4 linked regions of the Drosophila melanogaster genome follow. Changing the gene in region 1 together with any one later gene gives a genetic interaction. Each region holds a gene or a part of one and is shown in the gene's direction. Other genes may lie near its edges.

The links.
Region 2: of TBPH (region 1) and CG30122, changing one enhances a phenotype caused by changing the other (phenotypic enhancement), as found in Drosophila melanogaster (one study listed by BioGRID).
Region 3: of TBPH (region 1) and Map205, changing one suppresses a phenotype caused by changing the other (phenotypic suppression), as found in Drosophila melanogaster (one study listed by BioGRID).
Region 4: of TBPH (region 1) and Syp, changing one suppresses a phenotype caused by changing the other (phenotypic suppression), as found in Drosophila melanogaster (one study listed by BioGRID).

What each region holds. Positions count from the first base shown.
Region 1 is NT_033778.4:23,858,559-23,864,532, reverse strand, and holds TBPH (TAR DNA-binding protein-43 homolog), read left to right. Parts: upstream 1-1,939; 5' UTR 1,940-3,086; coding exon 3,087-3,327; intron 3,328-3,389; coding exon 3,390-3,700; intron 3,701-3,757; coding exon 3,758-3,962; intron 3,963-4,017; coding exon 4,018-4,646; intron 4,647-4,705; coding exon 4,706-4,843; intron 4,844-4,915; coding exon 4,916-4,987; 3' UTR 4,988-5,466; downstream 5,467-5,974. Other genes in the region: Cpes (ceramide phosphoethanolamine synthase), read left to right, coding at 185-1,363; bgcn (benign gonial cell neoplasm), read left to right, coding at 5,834-5,974.
Region 2 is NT_033778.4:18,633,249-18,641,270, reverse strand, and holds the start of CG30122 (uncharacterized protein), read left to right. Parts: upstream 1-2,000; 5' UTR 2,001-2,310; coding exon 2,311-2,452; intron 2,453-2,653; coding exon 2,654-3,424; intron 3,425-3,531; coding exon 3,532-4,383; intron 4,384-4,449; coding exon 4,450-4,931; intron 4,932-4,999; coding exon 5,000-5,128; intron 5,129-6,329; coding exon 6,330-6,501; intron 6,502-6,985; coding exon 6,986-7,845; intron 7,846-7,907; coding exon 7,908-8,022. Other genes in the region: CheA56a (chemosensory protein A 56a), read right to left, coding at 469-957, 1,024-1,077.
Region 3 is NT_033777.3:32,065,403-32,070,189, reverse strand, and holds the start of Map205 (Microtubule-associated protein 205), read left to right. Parts: upstream 1-1,748; 5' UTR 1,749-2,193; coding exon 2,194-3,861; intron 3,862-4,787. UniProt on the Drosophila melanogaster protein: May play an important role in the regulation of microtubule assembly and interaction.
Region 4 is NT_033777.3:20,788,433-20,793,024, forward strand, and holds the start of Syp (syncrip), read left to right. Parts: upstream 1-1,553; 5' UTR 1,554-1,776; coding exon 1,777-1,900; intron 1,901-3,312; coding exon 3,313-3,431; intron 3,432-3,504; coding exon 3,505-3,817; intron 3,818-3,881; coding exon 3,882-4,123; intron 4,124-4,592.

The sequences.
Region 1 (5,974 bases):
AGAAGGGGATTTCAAAACCCTGCATGTTGCTTGCCAAACTTTTTATGCCGTGCGCGGCTTATCTTGACAACTACTTCGCTTCGATAAACCATATTGATCAGCTTCACTTCTTTCCGCCCCACAGCTGCGCCCTGAAATCAGCCCGATAAGAACTTAGTGTTAAGCGCTACCTCAAAGTGTCACCATGATCGGACCCAGTTCGCAGATCAGCAAGATCCTGCTCACCCTGCTGTTCCTGCTGATCATCTTCTACGTTTTCATGGACGTGGAGCTCTACCTGCGCATCCACAACTATGCCATCGAGAGGAACTATCACACGAATGTCTCGCTGCCCGCCTCCGTCGTGGGTCCGTCCACCTCGGAGTCCGGGTCCGGCAGCATCGGTGGTAGCAGCAGCAGCAGCAGCAGCAGTAGCAGCAGCACCAGTACGAAACTACCCACCGCCGGCGACCGGCAGCCGTCCTACGAGGACCACACCTGGATATCCTGTGATATAAATCCGCTTTGCCATGTGACCGTGAAGGCCATTCTGTTGGACCACACCAACCACTACCTGTTCGCCCCGCTGGCCACCATGTTCGACAACGTGATCGGCTTCTCGCGCTCCACCTTCATCACGCCCAACATGATATCGTTTTTCCATGTGGGCGTGGCCTGTCTGGCGGGCAAACTGGTGGCCTCGGACAGCCTGGGCTATCGGCGGCTGGGCGTGCTGCTCTTCCAGATCCGCACCTTCCTGGACGACCTGGACGGGCATGTGGCGCGCGTGCGCAAGCACATACGCGGCGAGCGCTCGGAGATCGGCACCTCCGGCTACTATGTGGACGGCCTGTGCGACGGACTCGGCTGCATTGCGCTGCTGCTGGGCATATTCTTTTACCTGAAGAACAATCCACCGCGGAGGGGCTACTCGATCATACCCATGAGCGACTCCAAGCTGCCGGAGCCCACCATGATGATACCGAAGATGAAGGCCACCACGCGCAAGGTGGCCAAGAACGTGATCAGCTTCACGGGCCAGCTGCTGCTGAGCTCGACGGCGTGGAATCGCTACATTGCCGTCTACCAGAACATGCTGGAGCGCGAGGACGTGAGCGGCAACCAGTCGCATTGCCAGGATTACGTGTTCAAGTCGACCTGGTTCTTCTGCGTCGCCTGGATGTGGCGCATCGTCAACGTGCACGCCCTGCTGCACTGCGTCCTGCTGAGCATCTTCTGCGACAAGCTGTGGGACTTCCTGCGCGCGATCCGGTACAGCGGTTACATTATCCTGTTAGTTGCTATATGTTTAACTGAAATGCACATTCTGGAGGCCCAGAACTACATTTTCAACTCTACGGCGTGCAGTAATATTTCACTGTGATTTTACTAATATTACGAGAAAATACAATAATATTTGTGTAGTGCAAATCAGCGATGCCTTTTTTAATTGTGTATAAATAATAATGTATCATAATTGTTAGCCAATCATTAATATTTCGAAACCAACTAATGCATTTTGTCATTCAAGCGCGGTCTGCAAGAGCAATCGAAACTCCTTCAGCTGTAAATAATAAATGTTATTGATTAATAAAGTCTAGCTGTTTTTATCGTACGCATTTCCATGGCGAGCTAATTTCGTTTGAATTTATTTATAATGTTTTGTGTTTCGAAATTTCAAATGAACACGATGCGCAATGCTGCCAAGTTTTTTTTTGGTATAGCTGATGGGCAGCACTGCAAGGTTTGGTATTTTATTCGACAGTACCAAATGCCAATATAATTGCCATATTGTAATGTAATATATTGCTTAGATATTCATAGTGGCAATCAACGCTCATATAGTTTAATAAAGAGGCTATTAAAATTTATGTGACAATGCACTGTTTTAACTAAAAATAATACACTTTTAGTATATCTACCCGCCGGCTGGTATTTCTCACTAGCCCTGTTCGGCCACACTGCGCATACGTCAGGCGATACATACAAAGGAAAAGAAAATCAAAACGGAAAGCGAGAAGAAATGCTTCACTCGTCGTTTGAAAATTTGTTAAGCTGTCAATTGTAAATATTACCTGATTCCTATTTCGCACCGATTGAAAGTGGTTGTGCATCGAAGCGTGTGTTGTGTCAAGAACCGAGCGTGGAACGTACAGTGAATACCTGATTTTGCCTGGGTGTGAATCGAATTCGTGTGAGAGAGCGTGCGATCTGAGATCTGGGATCAGAAATCTATATCTACTTGCCATACGCAGTCAGAAATTACAGCAACCAACTAATCCCTGTCAATAGTGTAAGAATTGTTGTGTAACCAACCATCTTTTAGGACCGCCAAACTGCCTCCGTCTACACATTATGTCCTCCCCTCGACGATTGCGTTTGTGTGCGTGTGTGTGTGTGCCACACACTTGCACTCACACACAGACGACAGGATTGGATATTTTCAATTTATGTGGCTTTCATTCATTGATTTTCCAATTCCTGCCGCGATTCCACACTCACAAACGTCAGTTTACTCGTATTAAGTGGGTGAAATATCTGTTTTCTTGAGTAGTTCAAAACATATACATATGTATGCCATACATCGTAAACTTGGGATTGGGTATTCTTCTTTTGTTTATTAACTAAATGTACGTAGAATAGGCATTTAGCCGATGGTGGGACATAAGTAGCGTCTGATTCAGAGAATTTTTAACTAATAATAACGTAAAGAAACGCCTAAACATGAACACTAATAATATATGAATATGTTTGTAATACTTACTAAAATTATATCATCGAAATTACAAGAGATAGAAACATTGTTTATTTGTCGTTTTTAGTAGATTGACCTAGTGTAGGATCCTTTTTGTTTTGGCTTGGTCCCACGAGCAATGTGTGTATAGAGTGGTTCGGGGCAACCTTTTTGTGTTGAATATTGTACCTTGGGATGCATCTGAATAGAACGGATGAACTGAGTGAGTGCATTCATGAATGCAGCGATGCAGAATATGTGGGATGCTTCCGTTGACTGAATGACATGGTGGATCATTTCTAGAGCGAAGTGTGAGCCCCTGCGGCGATAGAGTTCTTTAATCCCCTCCTCGTTTCTAGCAGCCTTCTAGGAAATGGATTTCGTTCAAGTGTCGGAGGAGGAGGGCGACGAGCCCATCGAGCTGCCGGCTGAGGAGGATGGCACTCTGCTTCTGTCCACACTGCAAGCTCAGTTCCCTGGATCCTGCGGTCTGAAGTACCGCAACCTGGACACGAAGGCTGTGCGCGGAGTTCGCTCCAACGAGGGCAGACTGTTTCCGCCCAGCGTGGAGTCCGGCTGGGGCGAGTACGCTTACTTTTGCGTCTTTCCCAAGGGTAAATTCGAGTTGTATGACTCCCTGTTGAACCTTAAATAATTCTGTAATCCCCCCCTGCAGAGAACAAGCGCAAGAGCGACGATAACTTGGAGAACTCAACTGCCAAGACCAAACGCATCGAGACCCGTCTGCGCTGCACTGATCTCATCGTGCTCGGCTTGCCGTGGAAGACCACAGAGGAGAGCTTGCGTGAGTACTTCGAGACCTACGGCGAGGTGCTGATGGCCCAGATCAAGAAGGACACCAAGTCGGGCCAGTCCAAGGGCTTCGGTTTCGTGCGCTTCGGCTCTTACGATGCCCAGATGCGCGTGCTCACCAATCGCCATCTGATCGACGGTCGCTGGTGCGAGGTTAAGGTGCCCAACTCGAAGGTAAGTCCTCTTGTTAGCCCTGCAATTTCACGCCTACTAATCCTTCTATTCTCATAGGGCATGGGCCACCAGGTGCCTTGCAAGGTGTTCGTGGGCCGCTGCACCGAGGACATTAACTCGGACGACTTGCGCGAGTATTTCTCCAAGTTTGGCGAAGTCACTGATGTGTTCATTCCCCGGCCCTTCAGGGCCTTTAGCTTTGTAACCTTCCTTGATCCCGACGTGGCACAGTCCCTGTGCGGAGAGGATCACATTATCAAGGGTGAGTCACTGCCGCGTGGAGAAGAATCAGGGAATTAATGAGACACTTTCCACAGGCGTTTCGGTCCATGTGTCGAATGCTGCTCCAAAGGCCGAGCAGAACAGAAACCAACAGGTCCAGAGCTACAACTACAACTCTGCCAACAGCTTTGGCATGCACTCATACCACCCACAGGGTAACCACATGAATCCGGGCCGCAACGGACACCACCGAGGTAATAACCAACACAATGCTCACGGCGGTGAGAACGCAATTGTGCCCAATAATCACAACATTGGCACCGCCGGCTACGGCATGGGTGGCAACAATTACGGCGGCAACTCGGGCGGGGGCTACCACAACAATGGCGGCAATCACTCCAGTGGCGGGAACACGAACCGCCAGGACGGCGGCAGCCAGTACAACAGTCGCCAGTCGAATTTTCACGGAATGAACCAGCCGCATAACGGCAACGTGGGCGGCAGCAACGGCTGGATGAACCGTGGCCACCTGGACATGCCCAACCTGCAGGCCCTGGGCATCAACTCGCAGGGATCGAGCTCCTCCAACCAGGGCCAAAACATGAGCAACCAGTCAATGCTCAATCTCAACTCATTGCCCATCAATCCCGCACTGGTCGCTGCCGCCTTGAACCAGTGGAGCCTGGTCGGCAACCAGCTGCAGAACCAAAACCAGGACCAACAGGCAAGCCTTCACACCTCAATCATTGTTTCAAACAAAAAACTCTCTCACTTGCTCCGCAGGGCGGCAATTTTCTATCTTGGATGGCTCAGAACGGGGGCCACAACAATGCCAACAACTTTGGTGGACGGAAGGGGCCGAATAACCCGAACAACAATCCGGCCGCCAACGGAATAAAGACCGACAACTCGGAGCCACAGGTTAGAGTCAAAACTGAAACCATCCCCTAAGAAACCTGGATCCCAGCCAGAATCTATTCTACTCTATTCCAGAATGGGAACACCGGTTGGTCGAACCAGAGCAGCGGATCTCAAAACGCCGCGGAGAAGTCAAACTTTCTTTAAGGCGGTGCCTGTCACCCAATGATGTGGTTAATGTGGTTAACCAACACCTCTGTAGCTTACTTAAATTTACATATATGTATTCCACATACAAACCAGTTAAGAATTGTATTTAATATGTAATAGATATTTTGATAATTGTAAACAAGATGACACTGGATGGCTAATAACACAATTGATAAAACACACTTCAAAATAAATTCTGCGCCAAAGCTCAGTAAAAATTGTATCATTGTATCACTTAAGTAGAATTTGATTTGTATTTTGTTGTTTATTAAATATATTTTGGCTTACGCTAAGAAAGTTTAGTTATAAAGATTGTGCACTTATAATGCTGGATCTGCGGAGAATTTCCAATATAACAAAGTTTTCTTTAAGATATCTAAACGAATTTGGCGCAGCCTCATTTTAGAGGAGAATTCATTTAACATGTACATTCATTTCAAAAAATAAAGAATGCAAAAGCATATTAGTACAAAGTGAATCATTTCATTTGAATGGAATCTATGGGATTGTGAATTGAATATTTTAATATATTCCTGTAAAGGAAACTCTCCCGTCTTGGAAACTTATCTCTTATTCTTTGAAAATAACAAAGTATGTTTTATAATTCAGTTTGTAATGACACCTGGATCTTTTTTTTTTACAAATTTCCACTACACATTTGTTTGAGTATATGCAAGGAATACCCTTAATGAGCAAGCTTTGCGCCAGCGAAAATACAGCCCTGTGTTCCATTCCGCCATTTTTCTATTTTCACGACGGTGGCAATAACGGAACTTGCAATTGCCGCGCGCATTGCGGCGCACTTCACTTAATTTAGTGTCAATCTGTTTGAAGCTAGCAGAAATGAACCACATCATCCAGGACAAGTACATTCCGCAACAGCTGCTCTACTTCTTGGCGGGACGGCGCTGCTGCCAGCAGTTCCCGTGCACATTCCGCACCAGCGAGCACGAAGCATTCGCCAACAACGCCCGCTCCTTGGGG
Region 2 (8,022 bases), 5.2 Mb from region 1:
TTTGTATCTGCTGTAATTATCGGCCGATTAGCAATAGCAATTGATGAATGCGACATACATAATCTCTCTTCAATTAGATACAAGATTGAGTTCCGACGCTGGAGACGGTTGCTTGGGACGAGCCTTAGAAATGGATCTGAACTGGGAACGTAAAAGCGATATATAACGATAAATAATTATTACAATTCTATGTGCAAATGTGCATGTAAATATTTATGTGAACCCCATTAAAGAACCTATTACTATTTAAAAGAGATTCTTAGCTAAATATATATGCGCATATTCCGTGTAAACGAAACGAAACAATTTCGAATGCAATCATTTTAGCTGTAACTATAAACTGTAATCAAAAATGTAAGAAGAAAAATATATAAAAATGGCTTGGCTATACATACACACACACACAGAGAAATAATTGAGTTTTCATTTATGCCATATATTTTTTCGTGGTATTATAAATTTTTAAGACTATGTGATGATTTCTGCTATACTAATTGTTAACTGAACTCCACCAACACATTCGCCATTTTTTAGATACGAAATGGTGAATCTGTTAAGACCTTTAAAGACAATGGGTGGCCAATCTTCGGTAGAAACAACGCCGTTTTTCACAAAATATGTACCCTTTCGAAAAGGACACATTTCAGCACCGGTAGTGGGTAAATTCGATTCGGTCGATTTTACTAGGAAAAAGGAAATGTAGTAGCGATTGAAAAATTCGCAGGGTTTGCTGGCGGCGGCGTTCACGATTCCCTTGACCCAATATCCATTTTTAAATGCGTGGGATTCGAAAAGGACGTCGAACGTTTCGTCCAAGTCTTCTAAGAAAATAAGAGTTCCATTTATCATGCGGTTTCTACCGAGCAATCGTAGCTGGTATAGAAAAAGGGTTTCGGTACTTCCTTTTACGGCATCTATCGACTCAAAGCGGACTTCATAGTTGCTTTTTTTTGATCCCTAAAAATTAAAAATAAATATATTATTGCCACAAATTTCTTTATTGATTATTTTATTTATTCTTACCACTGACACTGTCCACAGGATCAAAAGGCTTTGTATCATCCACCAAAAAGACATATTCCTGAATTTAAACGCTCCAATTGCGAAATTTTGGATTGTGCATCTTTAACTTATAGATTTTATAGCGACATGAGTATGGCATGTCGATAAAATATATTTCAAATTTAATTATAAGTGAGTGTTAATGAGCACTTGTTCTGCTGAAGGGGCATGGCCACAATCGATGTTACAAAAGTTAGGAAGTTAGGATGTTATAACAAGTTAGGAAAATGGTATAATATAAAAAACATGCAGTTTTTCGTAATAAGTATATTAGCAACGCTGCGTATTAAGTTAGTTTTATTTCAGCATTACATTTTATTAATCAACCTTAAACTATTTTAGCAATTTATAGAAATGACCCAATGGATTTGCAATCCAAGCTTATATTGAAGGTAAGACATCTAGTATTTAAGCATCGGTGGTTCAGTGGTAGAATGCTCGCCTGCCACGCGGGCGGCCCGGGTTCGATTCCCGGCCGATGCAAATTTTGTATACTGTTTTTTTTTTTTGAAATCTTAAATTCGTATTTATTTTATATAGTTTGCAAACTAAAAATAATGAAAAAAAAACATCAATTGCTTGACCCCGACGTGATTTGAACACGCAACCTTCCGATCTGGAGTCGGACGCGCTACCGTTGCGCCACGGAGTCGTTGTTAATGCCTGTGCCAAACAGCCATTATACCTAAAGTCAATTTACGAAAAACACTTTGTTATGCAGGTTTTAATACTATTAATTATGTTTTGAAATAAACATTGACTTTGCCTATTAATTTTTATTGATATAGTATTTACTACAAATCATTCAATCATTAAATATTTTCTTGCAGCGCACATGCAAACGGTTGATGCACACAAGCGCCTTCTATCGCTAGTGATGTTCAGCCTGTTATCGATAGCCACCAAGCACAAGTATCGAACCCAAGCACGGTAGCTCTACGTTTTCGTTTTCCCAATCGCAGCCAACTTCACTTCAACGCGTTCGGTATAATATTTAGGTCCATTTATTTATTCGCAACAAATGCGAATGTAAAAACGAATATTGCGTTTTAATTGTGCGCGCACGGTGCTAGCAACCATTGCGACTTGACTACGGTGACATTTCCAGTGTGGGTGTCATTTGCCAGACAGCGTGATTTGGCCCGAAATTCCCCCAATTCAGTTTTTCACATCGCCAGCTTTTCAGCGGTGCACATTGAGTGAATAAGCGTGTGTGTTTCTGCCGCCAATCCAAATTGAAGCGCAAGAATGGATGTGGCGAAGCTGGAGAAGATGAAGGTGGTGGACCTGCGCAACGAGCTCCAGTCGCGCGGCCTGGACACCAAAGGAGTCAAAGCGGTGCTCGTCGAGCGCCTGAGGGCATATGTGGAAGGAGGAGCCGGCGACGGTGGTAAGTTTGTGTGTATGCGTCATTTGACCGCCCGATTGTTCCAGTGTGTATGTGTGTGGGTGTCACTGTGTGCGTGTGCTTTGCCGCGTCCAAGTCATGCTTGTGTTTCGGTTTCTGTTTGTGTGCGACTGAGCGTGAGTTAGTTGTAAGTTTTCCTTATATAATGATAAAGTAATCACATTTCACTTTTCCCGCGTCCAGAAAATGCGCCGGTCACACCAAGCCGCCGTCAGCGTCGCACGCGCTCTATGTCCCGCTCTCCATCGCCGGTGCAAGCTGCTCCCGTGGCCGCAGAACCAGTGCTCGATACTCTCGAAGAGGAGGAGCAGCCGGAGGATAAGACAGTGCCACAGCCAGAACCAGAAAGTGAACAGCCAGCAGCCGAGCCGGAACCAGAACAAAGTGAGCCGGAGGAAGCTGAGCCAGCTGCAGCAGTGACAGAGGACACAACCGTCAACCAAGCGGTCAATGAGGAGTCGCAGCCTGAGCCCGAAGAGTTTGATGAAAAGTCGGAGACAGACGACAAGCAGGAGACAATCGAAGAGGCAGTACCCGCCGTCGTACCACAGAATGAAGTGGCTGATGAACCCATGGAAGAGGATCATGATGCTGCCCCTGAGGAGCAGGAACCTACACAAACTGAGGAGCCTGTAGAGGAGAAACCAGCCGAGAGCACTGTGGCCGAGCATCAGTCAAATGGCGACAGCCAGAAAATGGACGTTGATGAGGAGGATTCGGCCGCCCCGAAAACGGCGGAGGAGACCGAGCCAGCAGCTAAGCCTGAGGATCAGCCCCCGGAACGCCGCAAGCGATCACACAGTCGGTCCAAATCCCGATCGCGCAGTGGCTCCCGCTCGTCCAAACATCGCGGCAGCGTAGGTGACAAGCGTGAGTCAAAGGCAGCGGCCGAGGAACGCACAGTTCCTGAGGACGAGCCAACCATCGAGGAGAACAAAGTCGGATTGAGCTGGCGTAAGTAGACTTGCTGTTTGCAACGAATTCGATACACACATTCCTTAACGTTCAAAGCTTGATCCATCATTCACAGTAACTAATATCCCTTTGTTTTTATATTCCAGTGGACTCTGACTTGCATTTACGCATCGACCCAACCACGTTTGCATCGGCCAAACCCCTGACATCGGAAATTTACTCGCTTATTTGGTCCGGAGCCCGCGCAAACTACGGAGTGCGCGAAGGCAAAGTGTGCTTTGAGGTGCGCCTTTCCGAGGAGTCGGTGCCGGAGAACTCGCACTACTTCCGCGATGAGCCGCATGTGCGAGGATTCCGCGTGGGATTTTCAATGCCCAAGAGCTCCTTGTTGCTAGGCGAGGCCGAGCATTCATTTGGCTATTGCGAGACCGGGCGTAAGGCTACTCAGAGCGAGTTTACCGATTACGGCAAGCCTTACCAGCTGGATGACGTTATCGGCTGCTATTTAGATCTGGAAAGTGAGCCGTGCACAATTAACTACACTCTGAACGGCGAGGATCTTGGAGTTGCGTTCGAGTTTGAGAAGAGCATACTGGGCGAGGAGGGAGCCCTGTTTCCGCACATCGTTACCAAGGGCTACGAATACTTAGTGAATTTCTCTGACACCGAGCAGCTGTTGGTGAATGCCGAGAGGCCCACGCGCAAGCGCCGCAAGCCACGTAAAGACGAAGACAAGGATAAGGACGACGATAAGGATGACAACGATGGCGAGAAGTGGAAGGTCTTGGACGAAGCCACGGCGGATGATGATGAGGTGGAGAAAAAGGATGAAGATGGCAAGGCTTCTTCGGAGAAAGATGAAGAGGAAGCCGAAGATCCTGAAAAAGCCAAAGAGGATGAGGCGGCGCCAAAAACGGAAACAGAAGCCGAAACTAAAGTCGAGGCTCCTGCTGAAGCTGCTAAGCCCGAATCAGAAGCTACCGAGGCTTCGGAAACTGGTGAGTAATGATTGATTGAAAATCAGTTATCCCACAAAATGCTAATATTTTGGGTTTTCCTTTTAGCTGAAACTTCTACCGAAAAGTCGTCAGAAACTGCAGCTGTGTCAAATGGTGATGCTGCTGCAGAACAGGCAAACGATGAAAAGGCATCTGAGGATAAGAAACCCTCCGAAAACAATGATGAAGAAGATGAGGATGGCCCCTCGCCGAACAAGCGACCCAAAACCGATGGAGATTCGGAAAAGGCTGAATCCGAAAAGGAAAAGGACAGGTCGCAGACGACCGAAGATGAGTACGAGGATGTCGTGCCCGAGCCAAGGGATACAGCTGCCCTGCTGGAAGGCTATGTATTGATCGGCTTAGTACCTGTCGAAAAGCTGGTTTCCGGTCCACAACGCGTCGGATCTCGCAAGGAGTGCGAAGTCATTTTACTGGTTGGCTTGCCAGGAGCCGGAAAGACCCATTGGGCCCATAAGCATGTGGCCGAGAATGCTGACAAGCGTTACGAGTTGATTGGACCCGACGCATTCATTTCAAAGATGACAGTAAGTTGGTTAATAAATGTACATAGCTAGGCGCTGAAGATATTCAGTACTGACCAATATATTTGCAGATCGATGGCGCCTCTCGCAAGACTGTGCACAAAGGTCGATGGGACAAGGTGTACGAGATATGCTTAAATAGCTTGGCGGCTCTGGAAGATATTGCCATGAAGCGGCGTCGAAATTTCATACTTGATCAGGTAAACCATTAACAAATGACCTACATACACCCGAAACAAAACACCAGCCCACAAACACACAAGATTACACTATGAACGAACGATAACCAAACACAAAACGAAACAAGCGAGAATTATACGTTGATGATGACTTTGGCGCCCACCCAACACACTGGGGCTCTGATCCCCTCGGGATTGAGGGGTTCCACCAGCGGGGCACAGCAATGTTGCGCTATATATTTTTTAATTGTACATTTGAGTATGCATTTTTTTTTTGCTCATCGCTCTAACTTAATAGAGTGCCCAAGTGCCCCTAGAAGGGGCACCAACGTGCAGGTATGTCCTAATTGTAAGTCGATCCGATAATTAGAGTGCTTAAGTTTGAGGCAGTAAGTATCTGTGGACTTCCCATTAGCTTAAGTTTTACGTGCAGGCGCAACAGTTGACGGGGCAGTTAAGAGGGAATTGTAAGAAAAGTGGGGATGGAAGTGGATATGGATATGGAAATGGCATTGGAGAAAGATGAGTGAGTGTAATGGAATGGAGTGAAGTAAAGTATGGAAGAAGGAGGAGGAGGAGGAGCGAGCGGCATGGATGCCACTGTAAGTAGACAAACACAAATCCGATCGACGAGTCGTTCGCCTACAATCTAATCACATATACGTATTAGTACCTACTATCTCTACTCTATCTCTCTCTCTAAATGCCAACTATTCTCATATATATGTATGTGTATCTACAGAAAGCTATGCGATGCTTCATCCTACAGCCAGCAGCACAGCCAACCGCGACTACTTTTCCCCCATAGTACATTCTGTTATCCTTATGCAAAGTATTAAGTCAACTGTTGTTAGATGTGGCCGGGTTAACATTAACCCGTCGCCGCCCCCTAGGTATTATGTTGGTGTGCGCGCACCGCTTCCGTAAGGCCCCGCTCCCTTGCCGGCGGAGTGTGGGCGGGAAGTGGGTGTCCCGCCGTGCAACAGGTATGTGTTAGATTATAAGCGCTGAAAGCAAGCGAGCTCAATGCGAGTTGGGTTCGATCCCGGTAGACCGAGGTCTCCAACCGAGCCGTATCATCAACGTGTTTCTCAAGTTCGACGACTGTCCCAACAACAACCAAACCAAATCCAACCAAACAACAACTGGCAGACAAAATCTGAACCCAATTCAACCAAACAACACCAACCAACCAACCGATCAACCAACTGTATTCTTGTAGACCAATGTGTATGCCTCGGCCCAGCGACGTAAAATGAAGGGTTTTAACGACTTCAAGCGAATTGCGGTCGTTTGCATACCCAGCGAAGATGAATTGAAACGTCGCATCGCCGAAAAAGAGGAAAAGGGAAATGCTTTTACAGTTAAAGAATCAACAATTAATAATTTACGAGGTAAATATTATCCACCACACCAAAGCAACGAATTGAAAAAAAAAATCCAGAATAATGTACGATCGTATAACTTATTATTCTACCTATCTAAATAAGGAGGCATTCTTGTTAAAATGAAAAACATTATAAAAACTTATGTAACGTATTTAGTTTGTAAGCAGCTGCACTTTATGTATCTATACGTAATTGTAACTGTAAGCCCTTCAAAATATCTCATAATTTGATTATTATTATTACCATTATTCATTAACATTTATTCTATAACAACCCCCACTTGGCAACTGGAACGTATAAAGGATGGACTTTATTCACAACTGGATTTCTTGAAAATCGAAATTTTTGCGCCCTTTTACGTTCGGTTGCCAAAGTTGATCCCTTCTTTCCCTCTATACTCCATCTACAATAATTCCTAATCTGTAATGATAATGAGCGATTTTAGCAATTGTGCAGCCTTATTGATGATGTACACGCAATCTTTTTCCAGCCAACTTCACACTTCCCTCGCTGGAGTTTGGCTGGTTCGATGATATAAACTACACGGAGCTGACTGGTGACGAGGCCAAGAGCGAGGTCAAGAAGTACAACGAGAAGGGCAAAAAGGCCATTGACGCGGAGAGGTCGCGTGACAAGAGATCCCGAGGAAGTCGCGACAACTATCGTCGTGATGACCGGAACCGGAATCGATACAATGATGACCGACGTCGTGATTATGGCGGCCAGCGGCACGAAAGTCGTTGGAGCGACTCCCGCAGGGGAGGCGGCGGTGGCGGTTACTCCAGCAATAGTGGTGGAGGCGGCAGTCGTGGCTACGACAATCGCCGCAACTACAACAGCGGTAGCGGTGGCCAGCAAAATTGGGTGCAGAACAGCCGCAGAAGCGGGTACGATGATCGCGGCTATGGTGGCGGTGGAAGCGGCAGTCGTGGATACGACAATCGCAACCGTGGATACGCAGGCGGCAGCGGTGGTGGTGGCGGCGGCGGCGGTGGTGGTGGTGGTGGTGGTGGTCAGCAAAACTGGATGCAGAACAACCGCAGAAGTGGGTATGACGACCGCGGCTACGGCAGCTCGCGGGACTATCGCGATCGAGACCGTGGCAACGACCGCAGTCGAATGGGCAGTAACGACCGGAACCGGGGCAGCAGCCAGAGTAGCTATCGCTCGGGAGGTGGTACTCATCAACAACGGGATTTTCGGCCTGGCCACCGCGACACCAAAGAAGATAGTCGCGGTGGCTATGAGCGGTCAGCTGGTCAATCGCTACCCAAGTATGGCAATAACACCGCTGTAGGCGGTGGCTACGATCAGTACAAGCAACAAGGTGGAGCACCTGGCGGAGGCAAGGTAAGTGTGCGACCAAATCCTCGACGCATGACAGCTGGCTAAGATCTCGATCGTTCCTGTAGGCCTCCCTTAGCGGCAAGTGGAGTACGTACAGTCAACACCATCAGCAACAGCAGGCGCCGCAGCATCAACAAACGGGCATCTGGCAGACTCAGCAGCAGTCACAACAATACCAAC
Region 3 (4,787 bases), on another chromosome or scaffold:
GAAGGAAACGTTTCCGACTATATAAAGTATATATATTCTTGATCAGGATCAAGATCCAAGTCGATCTAGCCCAGTCCGTCTGTTCGTATGAACGTCGAGACCTTAGGAACCATTAAAGCTAGAAGGTTGAGATGAAGCATACAGATTCTAGAGACCACCCTAACGCCCACAAAACCCCCCAAAACTGCAACGAGCAGAGCTTTTAAACAACTTTTGGATATTTTTTCATAATTTTATTAGTCTTGTAAAGTTCTATCGATTCGCCAAAAACTTTTTGACACGCCCACTCTAAAGATCTAAAACCACCTAGAACTACCACGACCACATTTTTAAAAAAATTGTTGGATATTATTTCATAATTTTGTTGGTCGTGTAAATTTTTATACATTTTTTTTGGCAAAAAATTGGTTGCACGTCGATAGACATTGCCAAGACAAATAAAAATGTAAAATGATATCAACAAATTTTTAAAAGATTGGGCGTGGCAGTTTTGTGCGGCTTGTGGGCTTTAGAGTGGGCGTGGCAGCATGGGTCAACAAACTTCCGCTGTGTCTTCGTTTCTAGAATCTGTATGCTTCATCTCAACCTTCTAGCTTTAATAGTTTCTGAGATCGAGACTCTCACGCGGACAATAAGACGGACAGTCGGACATGGCCAGTTCGACTCGGCTATTGATCCTGATCAAGAATATATATACTTTATATGTTCGGAAACGCTTCCTTCTGCCTGTTACATACTTTTCAACGAATCTAGTATACCCTCTTACTCTACGAGTAACGTTATAAAAACCTTTCGCAGCTAGCATGTTAAAATGAGGAAGGGGGTGTATTATGCTCTTACAGATTATTTGATAAAATGCTAAGTCTAAAAATAAATACAACATCCTCGTAGCCGTAGATTATTTGATAAAATGCTAAGTCTAAAAATAAATAAAAAATCCTCGTAGCCGTATGTAAGACGAGACAAAAATAAATAAAACATCCTCGTAGCCGTATGTAAGACGAGACAAAAATTAATTGCAAATTTTTTAGGCGAAATCGGGCAATAAAAGGGAGCAAGCAAATCCAATCGATAAAAGAATAAAAAAAAACGCTTTAGAACTGATATGCCAATGTTCCGTTTGCCTTAGCTCTATGAAATCTGACTGTCCTACGGTAATCGATTTTCTCTTGTGCCGACATATCAAGCACCGCAAAGGGGACCGTGGGGCATAACCTTAGTATCGAGAACACGACACAGCTTTTTATAAAATAATATCAAGCCGAAGAGCTAAAATAAATTTTGTATAGCCTAAAGCCTTACGATTAATATCATTCTTAAAAAAATTAAAGAACTCAACTTTCTAGCCGTTTTTTATTTTATATTTAGCCAAAAATGGTTAAAACCATATAATTTACAGCCGCTTGTTGATTATTTAATGAGTATTTATTATAACGTCAACTGAAAGGGACTTATTGTGCGATTTAATATATCCTCCTGCTGATAATAAGTAAATATACTGTGGACAGACCGTTGGACAAAATCTACTGGACGTTAGTATTAATAGAGCTATAATACCAATCAACTTATCGAAGTATCGACGAACCGATATCTTGTTCCCGGATTGCGTGAAAATACTGAGGACAGACCGTTCGACAAAAAACCTGTCATTTAGTATTAATCGAGCTATCGATATCTTATATATACTAAAAGATATCATTCAGTATTTTAACAAACGATCCACTGTCGGTATTTCAAGACAAGCCAAGTACGTTCATATTTCGTTTTTTCGTCAGGGTGGGTGTGCGCAAAAATTGGTCGGCAAGCAATTCAAAAGTAAGAGCAACCGGAGCGAACAAAAAAGGGAATAACTTACTAAAATCTCTGAAAGAAAAATAAAAAGACTAACGGGCTCGGCAAGCTGTGTTTATTTCGACAAGTAATTATATACTTGGAGTGCAAGCAAAGGCGAAGGAAGTGGAAGGACAAGCAACGAAATCGTGCTCTTATCCGTTCCTGTACTGTGTCTCTCTTTCGCTGGGAGAGTGTGTGTATTGGTGTGAGTGTAGAAATCTGCAAGAACAGCAACGCCAATAAAAGTGGAATCGAGAAAAAAAACGCAGTGGCGCGTGAATCACGAGCAATCTGAATCATCTCTCTACAAAAATACCTGTTTCTGTTGGCGCATCATTTATACCAATTAAATCCTAAAGGATGGAACACCACGAGGACAACGCGCAGTTGGACAACTACTTGCAGAACCGCCTGGCCGAAAGTCTGCAAATTTGCGGAGGCGCCGGCGAGCATAATCCTCATCTGGCAGACGCTACTGGGGGGAACGGCTGCGCTCCTGGCATTGCGCCCTCAAAGTCGGACGAAGTCGACGGGGAAGAAGACGAGGAGTGGAAGTACATACACGAGGTGCGGCAGAGTGAAAAGCTTCAACAGGAAAAGCTTCCACTGACAAAGGAAACCGGCAATGGCTTCGGGCCCGGACGGGACTCAGATAATCAAGTTCACGGAAACGGAGCTGCCGCTGTCTTCAATCTGTACGAAGAGGACGTGGAAGTGATCAAGAACGATGGTGACTTCTCGACAAATTCTAACACCACTACTTCAACGGACGAGGTAGTTGCCAGGCAGGCCCAGGAGCCAAACCAGTTGCCGGAGCAGCTTCAACAGCAGCAGCAGATAGAATCACAAGGTGTTCACGAGGATCCCCGTCAGGAAGATGAGGATGAGCACAGCTCCGTGGCCACTACTTATGGAACAAGCAGTCTCAGTGAGAACAACTCCTCGCCTTTAGATCAGGAGGAGGTCGTTATGGTGGCCCAAACGGTTGGTCAAGAGCAGTTAGTGGACTTCGACAACAAGGAAAACTCCTATTTTGTTAAAAACCTGGAAGAAAACCACTCGCAGCTAAACCCCAATGCTGTGGCCTTTGTGCCTGGCGTTGGCTCACAATCATCCTCTCCCCTTCCTGCTGCTGAAGATCCACTACCTGGTGTTCAGCCCCGCCCATTTCTACCGGGAGGGACCCTTGACGATTTGGTGGCGGAAAGTCCGCGGAAAGAATTCGCCCGAATCAACATGGATGGTATTGCCGTGCCCGACGAGCGGGAATTTGACATTGAAGCGGATATGCGACCCCACGAGTTGGAGCAGGAATCGGACACTTTTGGGGCAGGACACCTGGAGATGCAGTTGTTGAACGGTATAGGAACCGCTGACCAAGCAGCCTTAAGGGATGTTCTGGATCACGGTCCAGAGACAAGTGTCGATATGGAGTTGCCACTAGATCAGGTGCCCAACGACGCCGACATCATGAAACAATCGATTTATGCCGAGCACAACTCCTCCATTGAAGATATCTTAAATTCCGTGCAACCTTTGCCAATTCAGACTTGTGACGATAAGGAACTAATTCATGTGGAAGAGAAAGAACATGTCTCGAAGTCGCCTTCTACAGAGGAGCTCCAGTTTCAGTCCGACTTCCCAAACAATCAGGAATCGCACACATTATTCAATAACACTGAGCAGGATCCAATGCAGGCTTCATTTTATTTGGAACATACCTCTCAAAAGGCTCAAGAGGGCTGCCAGGAGCAAATGCAGCTTCCCGCTGAGTGCTCTGATATTTTTGCCGACCAGAGTTTATTGCTAGACACCAGTGCACCCCAGTTGAGCTCCGAAGCAGACTCGCCTGTGGCGAAATTGGAGCTGGAATCCCAGCAAGCTGGCATTGTAGACATCACACCTTCGCCCCTTTCTTCCACTGCAGAGAAACATCTGGTTGAAGACACCAAGGAGCTAGTTGAGGAGTACACGTTGGATCCGGAATCCCATTTCTTTGGGGTTGTTTCATCTCAAGCTCCTCTACAGGTAAGCTAAAAATCATGAGCAAATTTGCAAGATCTATTATTATACACACTTCATTTGAAATCACAAGTTTCTAAGATAAATTATTAACTTTGTTGTTATACTCTTTTGTGTTTGAACATCGCATGTGCATGATACGCTACAGCGCCTGTGGACTTCATTCATTCCCAAACTCTCCTTATAACTCTCTTTCTTTTGGGGCTTACTTTTTTTAAAATCAATCATTTATTCGATTACAAATGAGTAGTATTTAGATTCAAAGTTTTAACTTTTAATGCGCAGCCTAGTTTATAACTTCATAACTACTTTTGTTTGTTTTGCATACTTAGTAATGTTCTTTCTGATGATTGCTGCATAGTATTAATTAAATTCTGTTTTAATGATTATTGAGGTGTGCTCTTTTTAAATTTTATTTTGTCCTGGGGTGCGTCATTTGGCTCGCTCTCGCGGCACTGTCGACATTGCTGTTTCCTACGCTCTCCCTTTGTTTTTTGCATTTGGGTGGGGTTGCTTTTTGTTGTTGGACGTGTGTTACTCAATTTTTACACCCAACAGGACATGCAAGTGTTTCCATTGAATGGAATATGGTGTTGGGTTTTGAGTAAGACAGAGTTTTGTATTTATTTGGTGTTATGTCTTTTTTTATTTCTAAAGTTAAAGGTTTGTCCTTATATTAGTCTAAAAAACTTAGATTGTTGCAGTGGCAATGTACAGTACAAAGTTATATTGGGAATGTTTGCAATCCTAAGTAATATAGGTAAAAGGGTTTTTTTCCTTCCTTATACTAATGTACAGGTGTTATTAAAAGCCTTAAGTTAAAGGTTATTTCCTGTGTCCCATAAATATATATTAAAACGTAAACTAATAAACTGTTACCCGAAATTCCTATTTTTATGTTTGGTTTTCGTTCGTTTTTAAGATTTCGATGA
Region 4 (4,592 bases), on another chromosome or scaffold:
CCACGGCGAGCAACCCCTGGACTATAGCCAGCCGCCACCATCCTAAAGATACTCATAGTTTCTGCAGTCTACAGTCAGTCTGGCTTCGGTTGACAGAAACAGGGGCGGAGTTGCCAATTTGCCATTGGGGAGATCTTGTAATTCTAGACCAGACTGCTGCCGGCGGCGACGTATTGTCTGGCAGACGGACGCGAGTGACGAACAAATGTGGCAAAACGATTTATTTGGCTTTATCAGCAATTTTTGATTCTCCTTTGTCTCCCATTGAAAAAGCGCCGCATTAAGTGCTCCGCCTGCGTTTGCGGCGATTTGTCATATCGCTGATTTACTAACCTTACACCAGGCATTATCTCTTGGCAAAGGAGGCCGAATCCGAATCCGAGTCCGGAATGGCGGGGGAGAGGTGGAATCCGGGGCGAATCACCCCTGCTAGCAGCTAGAGGGTGACTTTTTCTGTTTTTTTTTTTTTTTTTTTTATACAACCGAGGGTGTAACTAACCGACACAAGTGCAAGAAGGCAGGATATGCCAGGATATGCATGTGTGTATGTATGGCTGGCTGTGTATGTTTGCGCATATCGCCGGCATCAACATCAAATTTATTGAGGTAGTTGCCAAGCGGCTCTGGCAAACAAAACGAGCATGCAAAAAGGAATGTTCTTTAACATGCAAACGTTTCTTTGTTTTTCCCCCATTTTAGCCGTGCTTCTATTTTTTCTGTACGAGTATATGCATGGGACAGAGTTGCCACCGCTGGGGCAAACAAGCGGCGACTACCCTGTTGCCATAACAAACATGCATAAAAAATGATGACTCGGGCTGGAAAAAAAAAGCACACACACAGTCCGGCAAGTGTTGCAAATTGAAAGCGGTTTTAGGCCAGGAGCCGTCACCTGAATAGCTTTGAGTTCGGGAGACCCAAGAATAAAGACTTAAATTGGCTGTGGTATGTGGCCAGTCATCCTGTTTTTTTTTTTGTTCAGTATGCACTTCCATATGCCATAGAAGCATTAGCATGGCAACTCAGCGTATAAGGAATACCATTTTATCGATATTTCACTGCAATCCTAATGGAATTTCCTGCATTGTTGTCTACTCCTTTCGACTGGCTCAATATCCATTGCCCATGTGTTTATTATTCATTTACTCGCTGTGCGCCGATAAAGCGCTTTTCCTGATTTTCCCGCCTTTCTCGCATCGCCAGCGCAACTTCATGACGCTCCCCCGGTGTTTGCCCTTTTGTGGGCTTCCCTGCGGTTGTCGCCAACACTTTTCACTTACAGCTCGCTGCGTTTTCGCGCCCAACAATCTAGATATACATACATGCATATAAATACATAGTATTTATGTGTTGGAGGGGCCTAGATAATGGGATATGTTTTTGTTGTTACTGGTTGACTGGTTCCGCTTATTGTTATAGTTGTCATAGCGCACATGGCATTCTGATGGCCCCACTGCAGTTGTCATAAATTTGTGGTCTTAATACTTGCACCACACCATTTTCAGGATTGCCACCTCAACAAAGTGGGTTCGGTTCGGTAACCCTTTCTAAATATCGATGCGTAGTTGGCCCTGCTGGGCGATTGTCAAAAGTTATTCCGTAATGTTTTTTGTTTCTATTCAGTTGTGAAAATTTTTCTCGTCTCTCGAATCGTTTCGGAACTATTGATTTTTACTTCAAAAATAAGAAAAAGCGAAAACAAATTCATTCACATTTGCAATCGAAATTCCAAGTCGCCTAAGGAAATTGAAAATTGTTAAATTGTTGCATTACGCGATGCTTTCCCAGATGGAAGCCTCCAAAGTGCAGAAGGATGAAGGGGGCGGCGAGGCTCTGAGCCGCACGATCCTCAAAACACCGTCTTCATTCAGGACCCCCAGCCCAATTCCCAGTTGCAGCAGTGAGTATTCCACGCCGCTGCAAAACACCCAATTGCCCCCGATATCAATCGCAAAGTATTTCAATGTCAGCGAAAACGAATCGAATGCCGGAGAATTAATGCGAAATTCGCAGAATGCCAGTGGAGAGAGCAGCAACAAACAGAAAAGATTTTAGAAATGTTCGGGTTTGCCCATAATTTTTGTGGGTCGCGCTCTATCGCTGGTTTGGCTCTCCCATTCTTGAACGATAGAGCTAGCTGATATTGCTGCTGTTTTTTTTTGTTTTTGTTTTTTTTTTTTTGCACATGTTACGCAATTATCGCTCTCGGCTAGTTGGGGTCCCTCGTTTTTATTTTTGCAGCTTGCTTCGTTTTTGTTTGAACGTCAAACACACACAACTTTCTATATGTATGTATGTACATACACATCGTACATATATATAATATACATACGAATATACGTGTACACGCGAATCAAAATAGCATTTGCTGATAGTGTGGCTGCTAAGGTAGCTTTCTATGCTGCGGCCTGTATAGGTGAGCGTTTGCCACTTGACAACTGTGGAACATTTGCATTTTCATTATGAGTGTGCCATAAATATTCATTTATGATAAATGCCTGTGTGCAGCTGCGGCTGCAATTGCAACGAAAGCGAACAGCTCTTGTTTCCGCAGCTCAACTGAATTTAGCCACGGAACAGATCATAAATAAATGTATTAGGCTGATTTAACATAGCAAATCACGTATACTACTACTTTTAGTCAATAAAACTACTAATACTAATCCAAGTCTAAAGTCCAGTAGCTTCAAACACGGCAAAAAGTGAACCCACTAGATTCATCAGCTGTTACCAGGGCAACTAATACGTCACGCTCTTGTGAGCGTGGCCGAACACATCGCGTATACGCAACACGTCACGCACAATTCGCAAATCGCGCCTCTTTTCGTTTGTTTACATTTTGGCCAATACGTTTTCATGCGGCTCCCTCTTTCTCTTCTCGTTTGCCTTTCTCCTTCTCTTGCCTTTCTCACGCACTTTTCGGTGCTCGGATGCGCGCTCTTCTGGATCGCAAATTTGTGCGTTTCGCATTTGTTTGGAGTCAATGAACTTTGTTGCTCGCTTTGTTGTCTCCTCTCTCTCCCATGCTCCCTGCTTTATCGCACTCCCCGTTTATCTCATTCCGCGAGTGCGTGCGACGGTGCGTAAGTTGCCAATTTTTCGTATTTCTCGTATTTCGCACATTCTCGCGACCCATTTTTTACCAAGCGCTCGCCGTTTGTGGCTATTTTGCGTTCGTTGAACTCTACAAGGTGATTTTATAGGTCGCACAATTTGTGGGTGCTCACTTGAATGTATGTTTCAAGAATATTAATATTTATGTATAAATACTCAATATATATTTATAACATTTTATTATCGTTGCACTTGCAGAAATGGCGGAAGGTAATGGCGAACTGTTGGATGACATTAACCAGAAAGCCGATGACCGTGGCGATGGCGAGCGTACAGAGGATTATCCCAAGCTGCTGGAATACGGTCTGGACAAGAAGGTGAGTGCTTTGAGAACCCAACACCACATGCCAACTATTACCAACATTTGCCACATGCAACATATGCTCCTAGGTCGCCGGCAAACTGGATGAGATCTACAAAACCGGCAAGTTGGCTCACGCCGAGCTGGACGAGCGCGCCCTGGACGCGCTCAAGGAGTTTCCCGTCGATGGTGCCTTGAATGTGTTGGGACAGTTCCTGGAATCGAACCTGGAGCACGTGTCAAACAAGTCCGCCTACCTATGCGGCGTGATGAAGACGTACCGACAGAAGAGTCGAGCCAGCCAACAGGGCGTGGCCGCGCCCGCAACTGTCAAAGGTCCCGACGAGGACAAGATCAAGAAAATCCTCGAGCGCACCGGCTACACATTAGATGTGACGACAGGTGAGAAACATTTTCAAGTACTGGAGAAACTTTTATCTAATACTATTACTTATACCGTACTCAGGTCAGCGTAAATACGGCGGACCGCCGCCGCATTGGGAGGGAAATGTGCCAGGCAACGGTTGCGAGGTTTTCTGCGGCAAGATACCCAAGGACATGTACGAGGACGAACTGATTCCGCTATTCGAGAACTGCGGCATAATCTGGGACCTACGACTCATGATGGACCCGATGACGGGCACAAATCGTGGTTATGCATTTGTCACATTCACAAATCGCGAAGCGGCCGTCAATGCAGTGCGACAGGTATTTAAGCCAACCACAGATCATCCATACCACCAACCACCAGTCCAGCCCAGCCCAGCCCACCTGAAAACCCAGTCTCCCCAATGAAAACCCCACCCCATCCGACCCTGACCACCAAATCAGTTTGATCCCCGCTTCAATGTTTTTACGTATTGCTAACTCTTAAGACCTATACAAATATCCTATATATATACATATTTAACGTATTGTATCCACATATTTACTATCGTGTTATAACACATCGGATGAAGTAGGAACAGTTATGCGGCCAAAGCAAAATTCAAATATTTGAAATTCTCCACAGCAAGAGCGAAAAATTACCGATTTGATCACAACCGATTTGGCGCTTTTAGATCCGACCATGAGAAATTCTGCAATTCCATTTAGTTTTTAACGTATGCTTACTTTACCTCTCTGCCTTTGCTATTAAGAATTCGAACTATGGGCAACGCTATCTGTCTCACTCTCT